2 linked regions of the Lonchura striata genome follow. The protein of the gene in region 2 purifies or fractionates together with the protein of the main gene of each other region. This does not show direct contact. Links are inferred from orthologs where the notes say so. Each region holds a gene or a part of one and is shown on either strand. Other genes may lie near its edges.

What was found.
Region 1: the proteins of CTDSPL2 (region 2) and PDIK1L purify together in Homo sapiens (affinity purification with mass spectrometry; 4 studies listed by BioGRID and IntAct, counting the BioPlex papers as one, with this or other methods). This does not show direct contact. The link is inferred for Lonchura striata from reciprocal best matches to the Homo sapiens genes CTDSPL2 and PDIK1L.

What each region holds. Positions count from the first base shown.
Region 1 is NC_134628.1:395,213-402,172, forward strand, and holds the start of PDIK1L (serine/threonine-protein kinase PDIK1L), read right to left. Parts: upstream 3,006-6,960; 5' UTR 2,918-3,005; intron 2,295-2,917; 5' UTR 1,217-2,294; coding exon 932-1,216; intron 1-931. Other genes in the region: E3 ubiquitin-protein ligase TRIM63, read left to right, coding at 6,242-6,400, 6,489-6,655.
Region 2 is NC_134613.1:24,082,423-24,090,232, forward strand, and holds the start of CTDSPL2 (CTD small phosphatase-like protein 2), read right to left. Parts: upstream 3,002-7,810; 5' UTR 2,945-3,001; intron 1-2,944. UniProt on the Homo sapiens protein: Probable phosphatase.

The DNA.
Region 1 (6,960 bases), on a different chromosome or scaffold from region 2:
CTGCCCTTCAGCTGGAAGCAGCTCCACTAACACCAGGAAGGTAAAGCTCTGACTTCTGCCCCATGAGCTGGCCAGTGTTATTTTGGCCAAATCCTTCCCTGAGAACAAGTCAGGAACAGCTCCCAAGGCACGGGGAGCTGGCAAAGCCAAGGATCTGTTCTCAGCCAGCATCTGCAGGGCTGCTCACCCCAAAGGGTGCCAGCAGCAGGGTGGCAGTGAAAACTGAAATAAAACAGCTGACTAGGGACAACACAGCAAACACCGAGCAGCCTGCTGGCTTTTTAAACCAGAAACACTCATTTCTGCCCGGGGCTGGTCTATACTTAGGGCTGCTTCTTGACAAGGGAATTAATTACATTGTCTTTCATTGTCTTTCCAGAGCTACTCATTCTTCAAACATACACATCTTCAAACTTAAAGGACGCTTTCACAGTGATATGTATTCCCTAATTTGTACTCTTTGAAGAGATTAATAGTTATTTATTAAAAAATAAAACCAGCTCATTATGTGCTACCAATCTGAAAGAATTTTAAGTGCTGGCTTCCTATAAATGAAGACACTGATTTCCTCTTCCAAGGACACTCGGGATGGAATTCCTCCAAGCTCTGTCCCAGGACAGGAGTGTTCTTTAACCTGCAACTGCCAAGAACTCCACAGCCTGCACCTCCCCATGGGCTTCCTCAAATTATCAGAGCAGCTCTGCATTAAATACAAATCCTGGAGTCTTTCAGAGCAGCGCAGCTTCAAACTCAAGATCCAGGCGATTGTCCTGGTTTTTTTTTTAAAGACCTCTATTAAATTCTGGGCGTCAGCGATGCAATAATGCCCTGGCCTAGCTGAGCACAGCTCCAAGCCCTGGGCTGCCCCACCTCCTTCCCCCCAGCTCAGCGTCACCGATTCCTTCCACCCCGTCCCCTCGGCCTCGTGTACCTGTAAATACAGGGAGGAGCTGGAGCCATGGGACATCTTCTGCACCATGCCATCTTTCTGCAAGATGCACTCCTCCAGGTGAATGACGTTGGGGTGCTGGCTCTTGATACTGCTAAGGGCCCAGAACTCGCGCAGAGCCAGTTCCACGTTCTCGGGAGCGTGGCACCGGATCTTTTTGACGGCCACGCGGGCACAGGTCCTCCTGACGACCGCTTCGTACACCACACCATAACTGCCACGACCAACCTCCCGAATTAGATCGTACTTAGGCTGGCTACTCACCATCTTCAGGAGCAAAGGTTCTGGGGAAGGGGGAGAAACCCACACAACTAAAACTCAGGCACAGGCAGCGCGCTGCGTTTCCCCTCCCTAGGGGCTGGCCTGCCCAGACCCCGCCGTTCACGGGGGTTTCAGCGCTAGAACATTCCAGAAGCTCCTCCATAAACCTGCACCTGCTGCCACGGACCAGGCGGAAGCGAAATTACATTTTTGGTTAGGGTTTCCCACGCGGCCCGGCGTGTTCAGGGGGGCAACAATTCAAAGCTAGCCCGGCAGGGTGCCGAGGCAGGGCCAGCGCTCCTGCTCCTCTCCCTCAGCGTCTTCCGAGAGCTGCTGCAGGAACAGCAGGAGGCTGGCATGCTCCCCAAGCAGCCCGGAGAGCAAGGAGGTCCCAGCTGGAGGCCCTGGTGGGCAGCAATGGCTTTTAGCAAACTGCTTTTGTGTGGAGGCGGCTGCGGGAGCAAACGTTTCTGTTATCATCCAGTTGTTTGACTCAAGGAGAGGAAGCTTCAGTCGCTCCCCGTTTATCTTTTTGAGGTGACTGATTTTTCGCCAAGCCTCCCCAGCACGAGGAATCTACATCTATGGAAGGTTAAAAAGGATAACTGATTGCAGGAGTTTGCACCCAACGTCTAGCTTTCACTTTTGCTCAACAGAGCAAGGACAAAAGTTAAGTTATTGCTCTGAAAGTAAAACAAGAGAGACACACACACACACAAAAAAAAAGAAGGGGAAAAAAAAAAAAAAAGCCACCAAACCCTGCTGCAGATTTATGACCCTCCCTACACGCTGCCCTACAAGATTACAAACCAAACACCAGCACCACCTTCATGCAACCAAACCAAAATGGGACACTGACTAGAGACAGCAATAAATTAAAATAAAAAAATAAGAGCTTGACTAGCCAAGGATCACTGGTCAAACAGAATGAAACGCAAAACCAAAAGTAAATAAATAAATAAAATCACACTGATAGAGCAGAACTACAATAGCTCTAAGACAGCCAGTGATAAAGGTAATTCTCTTTATGTCAGGCAATAAGGACCACATGTTATTAGTAGGAAGATTTCAAGTATTTCCACTGCTTTAGGTAATTTTTTTTTTTAGAAAAAAAAGGAAAAAAAAGAAAAAGAGAGAGAAAAAAGGTATCATCAGTCTCAGGTAATGCTACAGAGATATTTTAACCTTTCAGCAAAGCTGTGCGAGGGACATTTGCAGCAAGGATTTGAACCAAGCTGTGCCGTGTGTGAGAACAGGGGTGCAGCTCCACATTAGGGCTGGGACTGAGATGCAATGGGCCAACAAGGGCAGGAGCTTTAATTTAATCTCAATTTCCCAGTGGCCAAACAGCCCCGGGGGAACGCGGCTGCCCCGGGGGCGGCCGGGCGGACACCGGGCCCAGGCAGCGAATAACGAATAATATAAACACTCGATTAGAGAATAACACAAACATAAAGGTACCGCAGGTGATATATATACACCCCTCCTGCTCGGCGCGGCCGCACCTGCGGCCCTGAAGGGAAAGCGCCGCCTCAGAGCGGGCGATGCTGCCGGCCCGCCGCTGTGGGCATGGCCCCACTCCCCCCGCCCGACCTGCAGCCGGATCCCACCCGCTACAAGCACCACCACAAAGGGAAAGGGGAGGCGGTGGGGCCGAGCCGAGCCGAGGCGAGCAGGGCCGAACCGGGCCGGGAGAAGCCGCGTTACCTCAGCGCCGCCGCCGCCGCCGCCCGGCCGCCATCTTAGGGCTGCGCTCCGCCCGCCGCCCTCAGCGCGGCCACGCCCCCGCGCGGCCACGCCCACACAGCACCGCGCCCGCTCATTGGCCACGCCTCGCCGTGACCACGCCCATGTAATACCACGCCCGCTCATTGGCCACGCCCCGCCATGACCACGCCCATGCAATACCACGCCCGCTCATTGGTCGCGCCCCACAGTGACCACGCCCACATAATATCACGCCCATTCCTCGGCCACGCCCACTCCCCGGCCATGACGCGAGCGCCGTGGGCGCTTAATGAGATTAATTAATTAATTAATCAATCAATGAATGACTTAAATTTCTGTTCGTTAATTAGGAATGAATTCCTGGCTGTGAAGGCGGACAGGCCCTGGCACAGCGTGCCCAGAGCAGCCTGGGACAGTGGGAGGTGTCCCCGCGGTGGCAATGAGATAAAGTAAAAATTTAACAAGAAAGAAATCTGGATTTAAGTAAAATGTGTTTTTTAGTCTAGTAACTACAGCACTAGCAAAACTACCTTAACTAAAAAAAAAAAAAATACAGATTTCCACACTAAAAAGATAAGAGACAAGAAAAACTCCTCAAACCTTAAAACAAACAAAACAGAGTGACCCAAGAATTCTTTCTGACAAAAACTAAATACAAGTGTAACTAACTGTAAGTATAACGCAAAATAAATAAAATAAATATACATAAACCTATTATAAGATTCTATGCATATAGAAGTTAGAGTAATAAAAAAAGATCAGGAGTTCTCAGGGGTGCACATGTCCATTAAAGAACAATGAGTCCCCACATGCATCCACAACACTGTGAATAAACACACCGTTCCCCACAAATCTTTATTATAATTGTGGGGTTTTAATCTTTCTCCGCGTTTCAGCATTGGATGGGACTTAAGCTCCTTCCAAAACAAACAATTCTGGGACTCTACAATTTATTGCTTGGCGTCCAGAAAAAAATGAGTAAAGCGCCCCTGTGGCCCTTGGGCGTGCCCTGGCTTGGTGTGACAGTGGCACAAGAGCTGTCGCCCCTCGCTGTTCCCTGTTCTGTGCCGTGGGTCCCTTTCCCCCTCAGGCTGCAGGGCTGGAAGTGCCCCCCATGCCCCGGGGCTGGGGGCGCAGGGCTCCCCCACCGTGGCAAAGCCACCACAGGGACATTTTGGGAGAAGCCAGGGCCACCGACTGCTCAGAGCCCTGCGAAGCCCCGGCAGAGGGAGATTCCTCCCTCAGTGGGCTCTCCGGGGTTAATTGGGAAGGATCCCGGGGGTGATTAGTGCCCGGCTCCTGCCTAAGCTGTCCCAAGCCAATTAGGGGCCAACGAGCCTCTTGTGGGTTCGGAAAGCTGCTTAGGGCATTACAGCCCCTCCGCTCCTGGGAGTCCCCTTCAGCGAGTCCAGCAGCGATTCATGAACCAATGCCATCAGGATAGGGTGCGACCCCCGCGCTGCCCTCCCGGGTGCCCACCAGCCCCGCCGTGCTGCCGGCGCCTCGCTGGCACAGCCCCGAGCGCCGCCCCGGGAACGATCCTGCCCCGTGTGCCCCGCGGCTCCCGGCGCGGCCACCCGCTCCACGCGTGAGCCGGGGCGGAGGGAGCCCAAAACACCCGCGTGGGGAGAGGAGGGGGTCCGTGCCCCCGGCACCGTGTGCTGTGCACCGCGTGTGACACATCCAGGGAGCTGGGCACCCATTTATTCATGTACCTGGTCATCCATTTATACATGTACCTGGGCATCCATTTATCCATGTGCCTCTTCATCCATTTATCCATGTACCTGTGCATCCATTTATCCATGTACCTGTGCATCCATTTATTAATATACCTGTGCATCCATTTATCCATGTACCTGTGCATCCACTTATCCATGTACCTGGTCACCCATTTGTACATGTACCTGGTCATCCATTTATCCATGTACCTGGGTACCCATTTATCCATGTACCTGTGCATCCATTTATCCATGTACCTGGGTACCCATTTATCGATGTACCTGTGCACCCATTTATCCATGTACCTGTGCATCCATTTATCCATGTACCTGGTCACCCATTTATCCATGTACCTGTGCATCCATTTATACATGTACCTGGTCACCCATTTATCCATGTACCTGTGCATCCATTTATACATGTACCTGGTCATCCATTTATACATGTACCTGGTCATCCATTTATACATGTACCTGTGCATCCATTTATCCATGTACCTGGGCATCCATTTATTAATATACCTGTGCATCCATTTATCCATGTACCTGTGCATCCACTTATCCATGTACCTGTGCATCCATTTATCCATGTACCTGTGCATCCACTTATCCATGTACCTGTGCATCCCTGCTCACCTGTGTGCTCACAGACACCTGCACCCCATACCTGCGCACCCAGGTGTCCCCCCACACCCCGTACCCGTGCACCCAGGTGCCCCCTGCACCCCATACCTGTGCAGGTACCCCCTGTACCCCGTACCTGTGCACCCAGGTGCCCCCCCACCCCGGTACCATCTCCTGCCCGCAGTCGCTGTGGGCACCGCCGCTGCCACCCCGTCCCCCCGTGGTGACCCCTGTGCCAGCCGCGCTGGCAGCTCTCCCCGCGGCCAGCGCTGGCCCCTGGCCAGCCCGGCGGGGATCGTGGCCGGGGCTGCTTCCAGCCAGGGCTGTGCTCACCCTCTGCCCCCCCAGCCGTTTCTGGGTCAGCGCTTGAACCCCAGCAGCGGAGCCAGCTGGGTCATGGCTGTGCCAGGGCCGTGCCAGGGCCGTGCCAGGGCAGCCTGAGCAGCCCCCTCTGGGTCTGGGCTCCCGGAGGAGCCCCCCAGCCCGTGCCTGGGGAGGGCACACCCCGCTGCGTGTGCCAGCCATGGGGGCTGCGTCCCTCCAGCGCACGGGGGGAGGCGTTTGCCCCCCAGATTTGCTCCTGTTTTGGGTGGGGAAAGGGACAAACTGTACGAGCCAGCCCTGCTGCGGATTTCTGGAACCGTCGCAATGTCCTCATGACCGCGGGGCTGGCGCTTGCTGCTCCGGGGTCTCGGGACGCGCAGCCGCTTGTTTACCCCGCGGCTCCCGCTCGGGCACGTCCGCGGCACGGGTGGGCAGCGCCTCCTGGACAGCCTGTGCCCATCTTGTTTACCGGCCCTTGCGGTGGCTCAGCACCGTGTGACAGCTGCTGTCCCCTGTCCCGGGACACCCGACACCGAGCCGCGACCGGCAAACGCGTGACGAGGCGGCGGCTTATAAATAGCGGGGCGAGGGGCGCCGGCGGCGAGAGCGCCGGGAGCAGAGCCCTGAGGAGCCCATGGATTTCCAAGGCGGTATCCTGCAGGATGGCAGCCCCATGGAGAGCCTGGAGAAGCAGCTCATCTGCCCCATCTGCCTGGAGATGTTCAGCAAGCCCGTGGTCATCCTGCCCTGCCAGCACAACCTGTGCCGCAAGTGCGCCAACGACGTCTTCCAGGTGAGCGGGGCCCCCGCGCCCGGCCCGGGGGGCACCGGGGTGTTGTGGGGGTACTGATGGACCCCCCGGGCTCATCTTCCCCTCCCAGGCTGCCAACCCGTACTGGCAGAGCCGCGGCAGTCTGATTTCGGGGGGCCGGTTCCGGTGCCCCTCGTGCCGCCACGAGGTGCTGCTGGACCGCCACGGCGTCTACGGGCTGCAGAGGAACCTGCTGGTGGAGAACATCATCGACATCTACAAGCAGGAGTGCTCCAGGTGGGCAGCGCGGCCATGGGCTTACGGGGACGTGGGGACACGGGGATGCCCCAGCCGTGCCCCGGCAGCAGCGCTGAGACCCCCAGAGATCGCACCTGGGGGTCTTCCTGCTCAGCCATCCCCGGTTCAGAGCTTTTCCTGACTCAAATCGCCATCAAAACCTCCCTCCCGTGACTCAAAACTTCCTCCTGCACCCAAAACTTCCTCCCCCAGCCCCATTCTCCCCTCTGCCCCAGCAGTTTGTGCCTCTGGCTGTCCCAGGGGGGTGGCAGGTCCCTGGGGGTGGTGCCAGCCGGGCACGTCCT
Region 2 (7,810 bases):
CAGGCTTCCCCCACAGCAGAGCTGCTCCATCCTCCTGATCACCTTGGTGGTCTCCTCTGGACTCCCTCCAACAGGTCCATGTCCCTCCTGTGCTGGGAACCCCAGAGCTGTGAGCAGAACCCCAGGAACTTTTCACATAAAACAGACAAAAACCAATCTGCTCTTTAAAATACACAGGAGATGGTGACAGCGACTCAGGGGCCAGCAAATGAAGGGATTTCATGCAGACTTGGTCCTTTACTTTCTGGGCTCTGAGGAGCAAGGATCACCACATCTGATCTACTGACAGTGAGGAATGAGAAAGGCACTTGTGGAGAAGAACACTCCCCAGGAATTAGGGAACAAGGATGCAGCCACAGAGGGAGCGTGTGCGAGGGGCAGCCTTTAAATGTGGGATCATCTCAGTGGTCCTGCAGCGACTCTACCAAAGTCCAAAACCCACCACCCATCAGAACTGCTTCCCCAGGGAGAGCAGGCTGAAGGCACACGGCTGGGGCAGAACCTGGGCAGGGTTTGGACAGGGCACAGCTGCACACCCATAACCTGGAAAAGGCACTTTCAGGGTTCTGGGATTACTTATCCAGCTGTGATCCTGAAATGATCACAGTGATGCTCTGGAGCCCCAAGGCACTGTCCCAAAGAGCAGGAAGTCTCAAGCTCCTCTCAGAGCATACACACGTCTAGAAATACACAGGAATTTAAAATTTATGTCAAATTCCAGCCCTACTTCATGCATCATGGTTTTACAGACTCCCAGAATGGCTGAGGTAAGAAGGGAATTCTGGAGTTTCTCTTGTGCAATCCCCCTGCTCAAGCTTTTCTTGCAAGTTCTTGCCAAAATAGTTCAGCCTGACTTTCAGAATGGTTTTTACAAAAATGTGCAAGTGCCCCAAGTTGTTCTTCTCCTTACACCTGTGGAAGTTTGTTCCACAGGAGGGAAATATGTGCATAGAAATCTGTCAAAAGAACATATGTGATTCCCAAAGTCTCCTGCAAACACGATTTCTGTTGGCGTCAACCTCACGGCATTGCACGAGATCAAAGAAAAGCCAATGCAGTATGGTAAAACTTGGGATGGTGAAGCCTCAGTTTCCTTTTGAATCCTGACAACTTTGTCTGGTTTTTTAACTGCTTAATGCTCCTGAGCCTCTGCCAGTGTCACATCCTCGTGCTGGGGAATTGCCACCCTGGAAGGGAGTCACCAACACTGGTGGTGCTAGGCTGGGGATGGAAAATCACCTTTCAATTATGAAATGCATGTATGGCCCCAGCATATGTGGAATGTTTACATCCGTAGAGAAACGGCCCAACTGTCCCGTTCAATCTCCAGGGCAGACTGACAGGGGAATTTTTCTTTAATAAAGAACTTTGATGGAACAGGAATGTCAGCTTTACTGCACACTGCACTGACTGGAACAGGATCAAAACTGAGTTCCACACGATGTTTTCAGGGGAAAAGAGGAGAATGTTTCATGGAATTTCAGTCAGGATTTGGCTAGCATCCTAGAACATATATCTTGTTATGAAAACTGCTGAAACACTTTTAAGTGGGCAAGCCATAAGTGTCCTTGGAGCTATCCAGTCAACTGGAAGTCACACGGGCAGAACCTCCTAAAGTAGAAAAGCCTGAAATTGGGAGGGGGGGCGAGGGAGGGGCAAGTATCTTGGAATCCTATCTGTTATCCAGAACGGCTCCCTTGTGCCTACAGCATGAAGTAGTTACAACTTGTTTTCTGCTATTGTCACAGATCCAGGACGTTACTCTGGCTAAATCATAATCTCTTCCTGCCTCAGTTCATCCATGTGCAAACCTGGCTCGCTAACTCTTACCTTAATGTGTCATGGGGCTTAATTAATAACACTTAGGTCTTTTAAGTCTTCTACAAACATTAACTACTTCTTGTAACAACTCTCCAAGGTATTATTATCCCCATTTTACTCGTGGAGAAACGGCAAAAGAGGTTGTCGCTTGCCCAAGGCAACAGAGTAGTAGTTACACTTAGAGATCTTCCTCACGGGCTACTCTTAACAGTGGAAACATGTCAACAAAGGCTAAGACAAAAACGACAAACTCGAAATTACTTTTAGAAGCGCACCATGAACATCTGGAAGGCGATGGAAAATCCCTCCCAGAAACAACAGGCTTGGGACCAGAAACAGCATCACAACTGTCACCGCAGAGAACGAAGTGCCCTGGACAGACGTAGGCTCGAGCTCACCCGAACAGCCTCACACAAACAGCCAGACCTGTCCTCTCGAGCGCTCTTAAGTACCATAAAATTGAGCAACAGGCTCGTGCGGTGCTCTCCAGTAACACCGAGCGAGCAGATAATCAATGTGGTATGCGGCTCGCTAATTCCTTCCGCCGCCTTCCCAGCAGGGACCGGGAATGCCAATAACGGCCCCGGGCGGCGGGGCTCCTGCACGGTGCCGGTGCCGGCCACAAAGTTGGCGTCCCCGGCGCGCTGGCATCCGCGGAGCCGCCGGCGGAGCCGTGCCCGGGCAGCGCGGAGCCGGCGCCCCGCCGCCCCCGGGCCGCTGACAGGCGCGTCCGGCGCCGAGCCGCGCCAGCAACAGGCGCGTCCTGCGCGGGACCCGCGCGGCACGGCCCGCAGCGCCGCGGCTCCGGCCCGGCCCCGGGGCGCACGGGCCGGGCGGGACCCGCCGCAGGCCTCGGCCCGGGGGGGCGCGGGGGGTGCCAGGCGGGGTGACACCGCTCCGCCGCTGCCCGCGGCAGGGCCGCCCCGCCACGGCCGCGGCCGGGGCTCGCCCGGGGCTCCGAGCGGCCGCGGCGGGCGAGCGCGGCGGGCGCGCGGTGCCCGCGGGCGGCGGGCCCGCGGCGGGCAGGCCCCGAGGGGACATCCCGCCGGTCACTCGCAGCGGCCACCCCGCGCCCCCACCTGATCCCGGGCTGGGACCCGCGCGGCTCCGCCGCGTCACTCACCTGCGGGAGCGGGGGCCGGGGAGCGGCGCCGCGGGGCCGCGCTGCGGGCGGCCGGGCGGCCGGGCGGGCGGAGGGGGCGGGCGGCGGCGGCGGCGGGTCCGCGCTCCGGGCGCTCGGCGCTCAGCGCTCAGTCGCCATTTCCCGCCTACCGACCCGCTGCACCGCACCGAGGGACCCGGATGGCAGCGGGGCCGCCGCGCAGGCGCGCCCGGCCGGGGGAGGGGGCCGGGCCGGGGCAGGCCGGGAAGGAGGGAGCGGAGCGGGGCCTGGCAGGCGGCGGGGCCGGCGGCCGGGAGCGGCGGAGGAGGCGCGGCCGCCCCGCTGTCCCGGCGCCGGGCCGCGCTGGGCCGCGCCGCCGCTCCGGGAGGTGAGGGGAGAGCGGAGCCCTGAGGGCACCGCGGGGCGCGAGCGGCCGGGGGCGGGCGAGAACCGGCCCTGCCCGAGTCCCGGCGGCGGGCGAGAACCGGCCCTGCCCGCGCTCCCCGGGCAGCGGCAGCGCCGGGCAGCACCCGCCGCGGCCGGGCGGACGGGCAGACAGACGGACGGGCGGACAGACGGACGATCGGACGGACGGGCAGCGCAGCCCCGCCCGCCGCGGCTCCGGCCGCCCGCTCCCCGCGCTCCCCCGGGCGCTGCCCGGCTCCCGGCCCTGCCGCCTCGCCCTCCGTGCCATTCCCGAAGCGTAGGGCACTGCCGGCTTGCGGTTTCGGTTGCTGTTTTTAAGTCGCCTGTGGAGTCGGTTGTGAAGTTTTTATTTCCGCTTTCTGTTTTTTTTTTTTTTTTTGTCTTCTAGGCAGCCTCTTCGTGTGGGAAATGCTGAGGATGCTGCGTGATTTGCTATTTAAAGGGCTTAATGAAGCGGCTTGGCCACCTCTTGCAGTATGAGGATGTGGTGACGTTACTTTTCTTGTCTCAATGCTACTGAATTTAGATATCTTAATTTTTCTCTTGGTAATCACTTTTACTTACCAGTCTTTGTAACAGAAATCAGTTCTCAGGTTCACCTGTGTTATGACTGGATAACATCTCAAGGTACTGCCCAGAATGGAAGGTTTTACAGGAGTGTCTGGCATCCTCTAATTTAGCAGTAAAGAAACCTACACGGGTGTTGTGTTTCCTGGTACCTGTTGACTCCCTGCTTAGCTTTTGAACTTGGATCAGATTATAGAAGTCCCAGCTCTCTAGTCACCTAAAATATTTATTGGCTTGTTAAAGAGAAGTACATCTGCTGCTGTGAAGCCAAGATTTGTTTTAGAATTCTGTCACAGGACTCTACTACTCTGTCTTTAACAGAAGACACTACAAAGCTAATTTTACCATAGGAAAGAGGTAGTACGAAAGTAGTGGAAACTCATTCAGAACAGGGAACCATATTCCTTTAGAGCATTCAAGTATTTCTTGTGGATATTTTGTGAATGATCAGCTGTGAAAAAGGTTAGTTTGGGCATGTTGGAGCCTCATTAAGATGGTTTGGCAGTCCCTGAGGAGGAACCTGTATGACAGGATAACTGTGTGATGTCTCACACTGTTACCCCAAAAGGACAGTCACTGGTACTTAGAAAGTGGGAGTTTTGGGAAACGGTGGGTGGAAATACTCTCTCAAGCCATGTAATTAAACTGAAACGAGCGGCCAGAGGAGCTGATCCAGCAAGGTTCAAAGCAAGCAGGTATTTGTGTGAGCACCAGCACGGCCAAAAACACTCTGACAAGAGATTAAATGTGTGACTCAGGATTCAAACTGATCTTTATGGCAGTGAGCACTGCCCTTTTCTGGATAACAGGATATCAAAATTTGTTTTTTCACAGCGCCTTGTGCTCGAGTTCCCTGGTGCTGAATTAGGGAGACTTGCAGGAAAGGGAATATGGAAAACCATCTTGCTGATGGTGTTGCTGTGCTGCTCAGAGGTCCCCTCTGTACCCTGCTCCCCATGGAGCACAGCCTCAGCCCCGAGTGGGCAGTGTGAAAACCCTGTGCTGGCACACGGAGCCTGGGGAGCTCGCAGTGTTTGTCTGGGCCAAGGAAAAGGCTGAGCTGGCAGCACTGGGCTTCCCTGGCCCGGGGATCCGGGCTCCTGGGGCATTTGAGGAGCACGTTTGCTTCACTGCACAGAGAAACCGAAAGGGAAATGTGCACTTGTCAGAACACTGCCCATTCCTGCAGTGGGATCCCCACTGCTCCTCGAAGGCCGTTCCTCAGGGTTGAGGATTTCTTCCCTGCTCTGTCCCCTGAGCCTTGCAGAGCCCTTAGCTCTGTGTTTATACATCATATAAACCAGCAGGTTTTTGTAGCATCTGCAACTCAGGGCTGGGTGGGGTTTATTCCAGCTCCAGTTTCAGTTCAACTTCAGCATCTGGCACTTCTCAGCAAATCCAGGAGTCTCCTTTGGGTTTATATGTTGCTGTTGCCCTTTTCGTGTTTGCTGTTCCTGTTGCCTTTCCAAAGGGGATCAGTTCCATTGGATAGGTGAGCAGAGTTGAGAAGCAGCTCCCAGGCTGTGCTGCTGCTCCATCCCCGGGTCTGGGAGCCAATCTGGCTGTCCAGGAGCAGCTCCAGACTTGCTGTTCTCCCTGCAGACACTCCAGCTGACAGCAACAGGCACTCATCTGCTCCCAGTCCCCGCAGAAACACCCGGGAACGAGCCTTGTGTTTGATCTGGCACAGTGCAGCACTGGAGAGTGGCATGAGACATTCCTGCAGGGGTGGAAATGCACAGCCACCAGCGGGCTTTGGGAAGCTGAACTGTAGATTATCCATCCCAGTAATCCCAGTGTGGCTACACAGGTTTCATAGGTTGAGGAATTGGGAGTATTAGGGTTTCTATATTGGCATAAAAGTGTTCAGGCATAAATATCACTACTGTGTTTCTGGCTGGCTTGAAAATTCCACTGCACTCTCATAAATAGGGAGAGATGGCCCTGGCTGGTTTTGTGGGTTTGTTTTCCTGTTTTATTTAAACTACAGAAATCGGGTCTCCTGAGTGCTGGAGCCAGCTGGAACAGCAGGCCACTGCTCCTCCTTATAAAGTGCCTAATCTCACATTTTCTAGTTCATTGCGGCAAGATTTGTTCCTATCAAGTATTTTGGTCAGCCTCAAGGAAGGGTCCCAGGTTACTTCAGCTGGAATTTCCCTACTTGGCTGCCAGGTTGCTGAAAGCACTCTGTATCTCCGGGAGCAGTGATTGCAGCTGACAGATTTATGGCATGTGGAAATTCTCCTTAATAGGGATAAAGGAGAAAGTTTTCAGATAGAGAGTTTGTGTGTGTACAGGAAATGGGAAATGGGTGCTGCTGAGAGCTCAGGACCTCCAAAACCACCACATGAATGAGCATTGTTCAATCCAGTGTGCAAACTGTAAACGGGCAGTAAATAGATTTATAGAGAAGAAAACATTTTGTACTTCTTGTATATACTACTGCAGAACACTCACTCACCAGCTCTTCTGTCCTGCAGGCTTTGGATTTCCCACTGTTGCTGGGTTTGCATATATGAACATGTAAAATGATAACATTTAATAAAATCCACAAACTATTATCTCGCATCTGTTTGTTTCTTGACACCTCAAAGTATCTTTAGCTCTTCATGGCTATTAAAATGCTGAAAAATACAGGGGTTTGTTTCATCCAGAACTGGGTTTGACCTTTTGGCAAGATCCTGCCCATCAGTTTGGTTTTCCTCATTTTGAAATTAAAATGGGTTCACCAGCGATTCTTTGTTTTTGTGGGATCCATGTGACTTCGGGAAAGCTTTGGCAGAGTCTGTTTGCTGAAAACCTCCAAAACCAGGCAGCTAGGACTGGCTGGAGTAACTGGAGCTGTTTCTCTGGCTGCGGGGTGGAGGTGCCTGCATTTCTGACACTGCCTGAGCTCATCCCTCGGCTCTGGCAGCCGAATGTCAGCTCCTCGTGTGAAGTGCATTGCCACATGGATCCAAAGGGATTTGGAGCCTCGGAGCCAGGAGTGGGTGTGCTGCTGGGGCTACCTGGGCGTGCTGGCTCACATGCGGGCTGGCCGCGGTGCGGTGGGAAGAGGCTTTGCTGGATTTCTGCTGCAGACCTGGAATGTGAGAGCCGGTTGGATTCCCAGTCTCGCTGGGTGCTGAGGGAAGCAGCTGCTCGAGGTCTGTCAGCGTTGTCTGTGTGCCATTGCCATGGCAACGGCAGCGGGCTCCGCACTAAGCACAGGGATGTCTGAGCTGCATTTCCAAAACAAACCCGAGCTGGTTTGTCACCCTCGGTGCTGCACAGCCCGGCTGCAGGGGCAGCTGTGAGCCCACGGCTCCGCAGCTCCTGCTGGGAGAGGTGCTCCAGAGCCCTCATCATCCTGGTGGTCTCCTGGACCCTCTGCAGTAGCCCCTTGTCTTTCCTGAGCTGTGGAGCCCAGGACTGAACACAATACTCCAGGGGTGGCCACACAAGGGTGAAGCAGAGTAATCACTCACGTGGAAAGAGGGAAAAAAGAGAAAACGTGGAATGCTAGAAAAAGAAAAGGCAGAGGACGAACATGGAGCAACTCACCTTCAGCACAGAGCCCAAGAGGGATGGTCCTGCTGATGGGCAGGGAAGGGAAAAGCAGCTGTGAGGACAGAATGGTTTAATCTCAACATTTCAGAAGTAGCTCTATTCAGGGGTCTCCCCAAGCTGTGCCGTGTGGTGCTGCACGACTTTGGAGAATGTGGGGTTCAGCTGGAACCGGGACGCAGCGCTGAGCTGGAGTTCCACTTATTAAATGCAGAAACTGGGGGGAATTTTTTTCGCCACTGACACTTGAAGTAATAATAAACTGTCTTAAAAACCCATAACACAATTGTACAAGCATTGAACTTTATTTAAGAGGTTCACTGAGCTGGCAAGGAGCAAACCTGACCG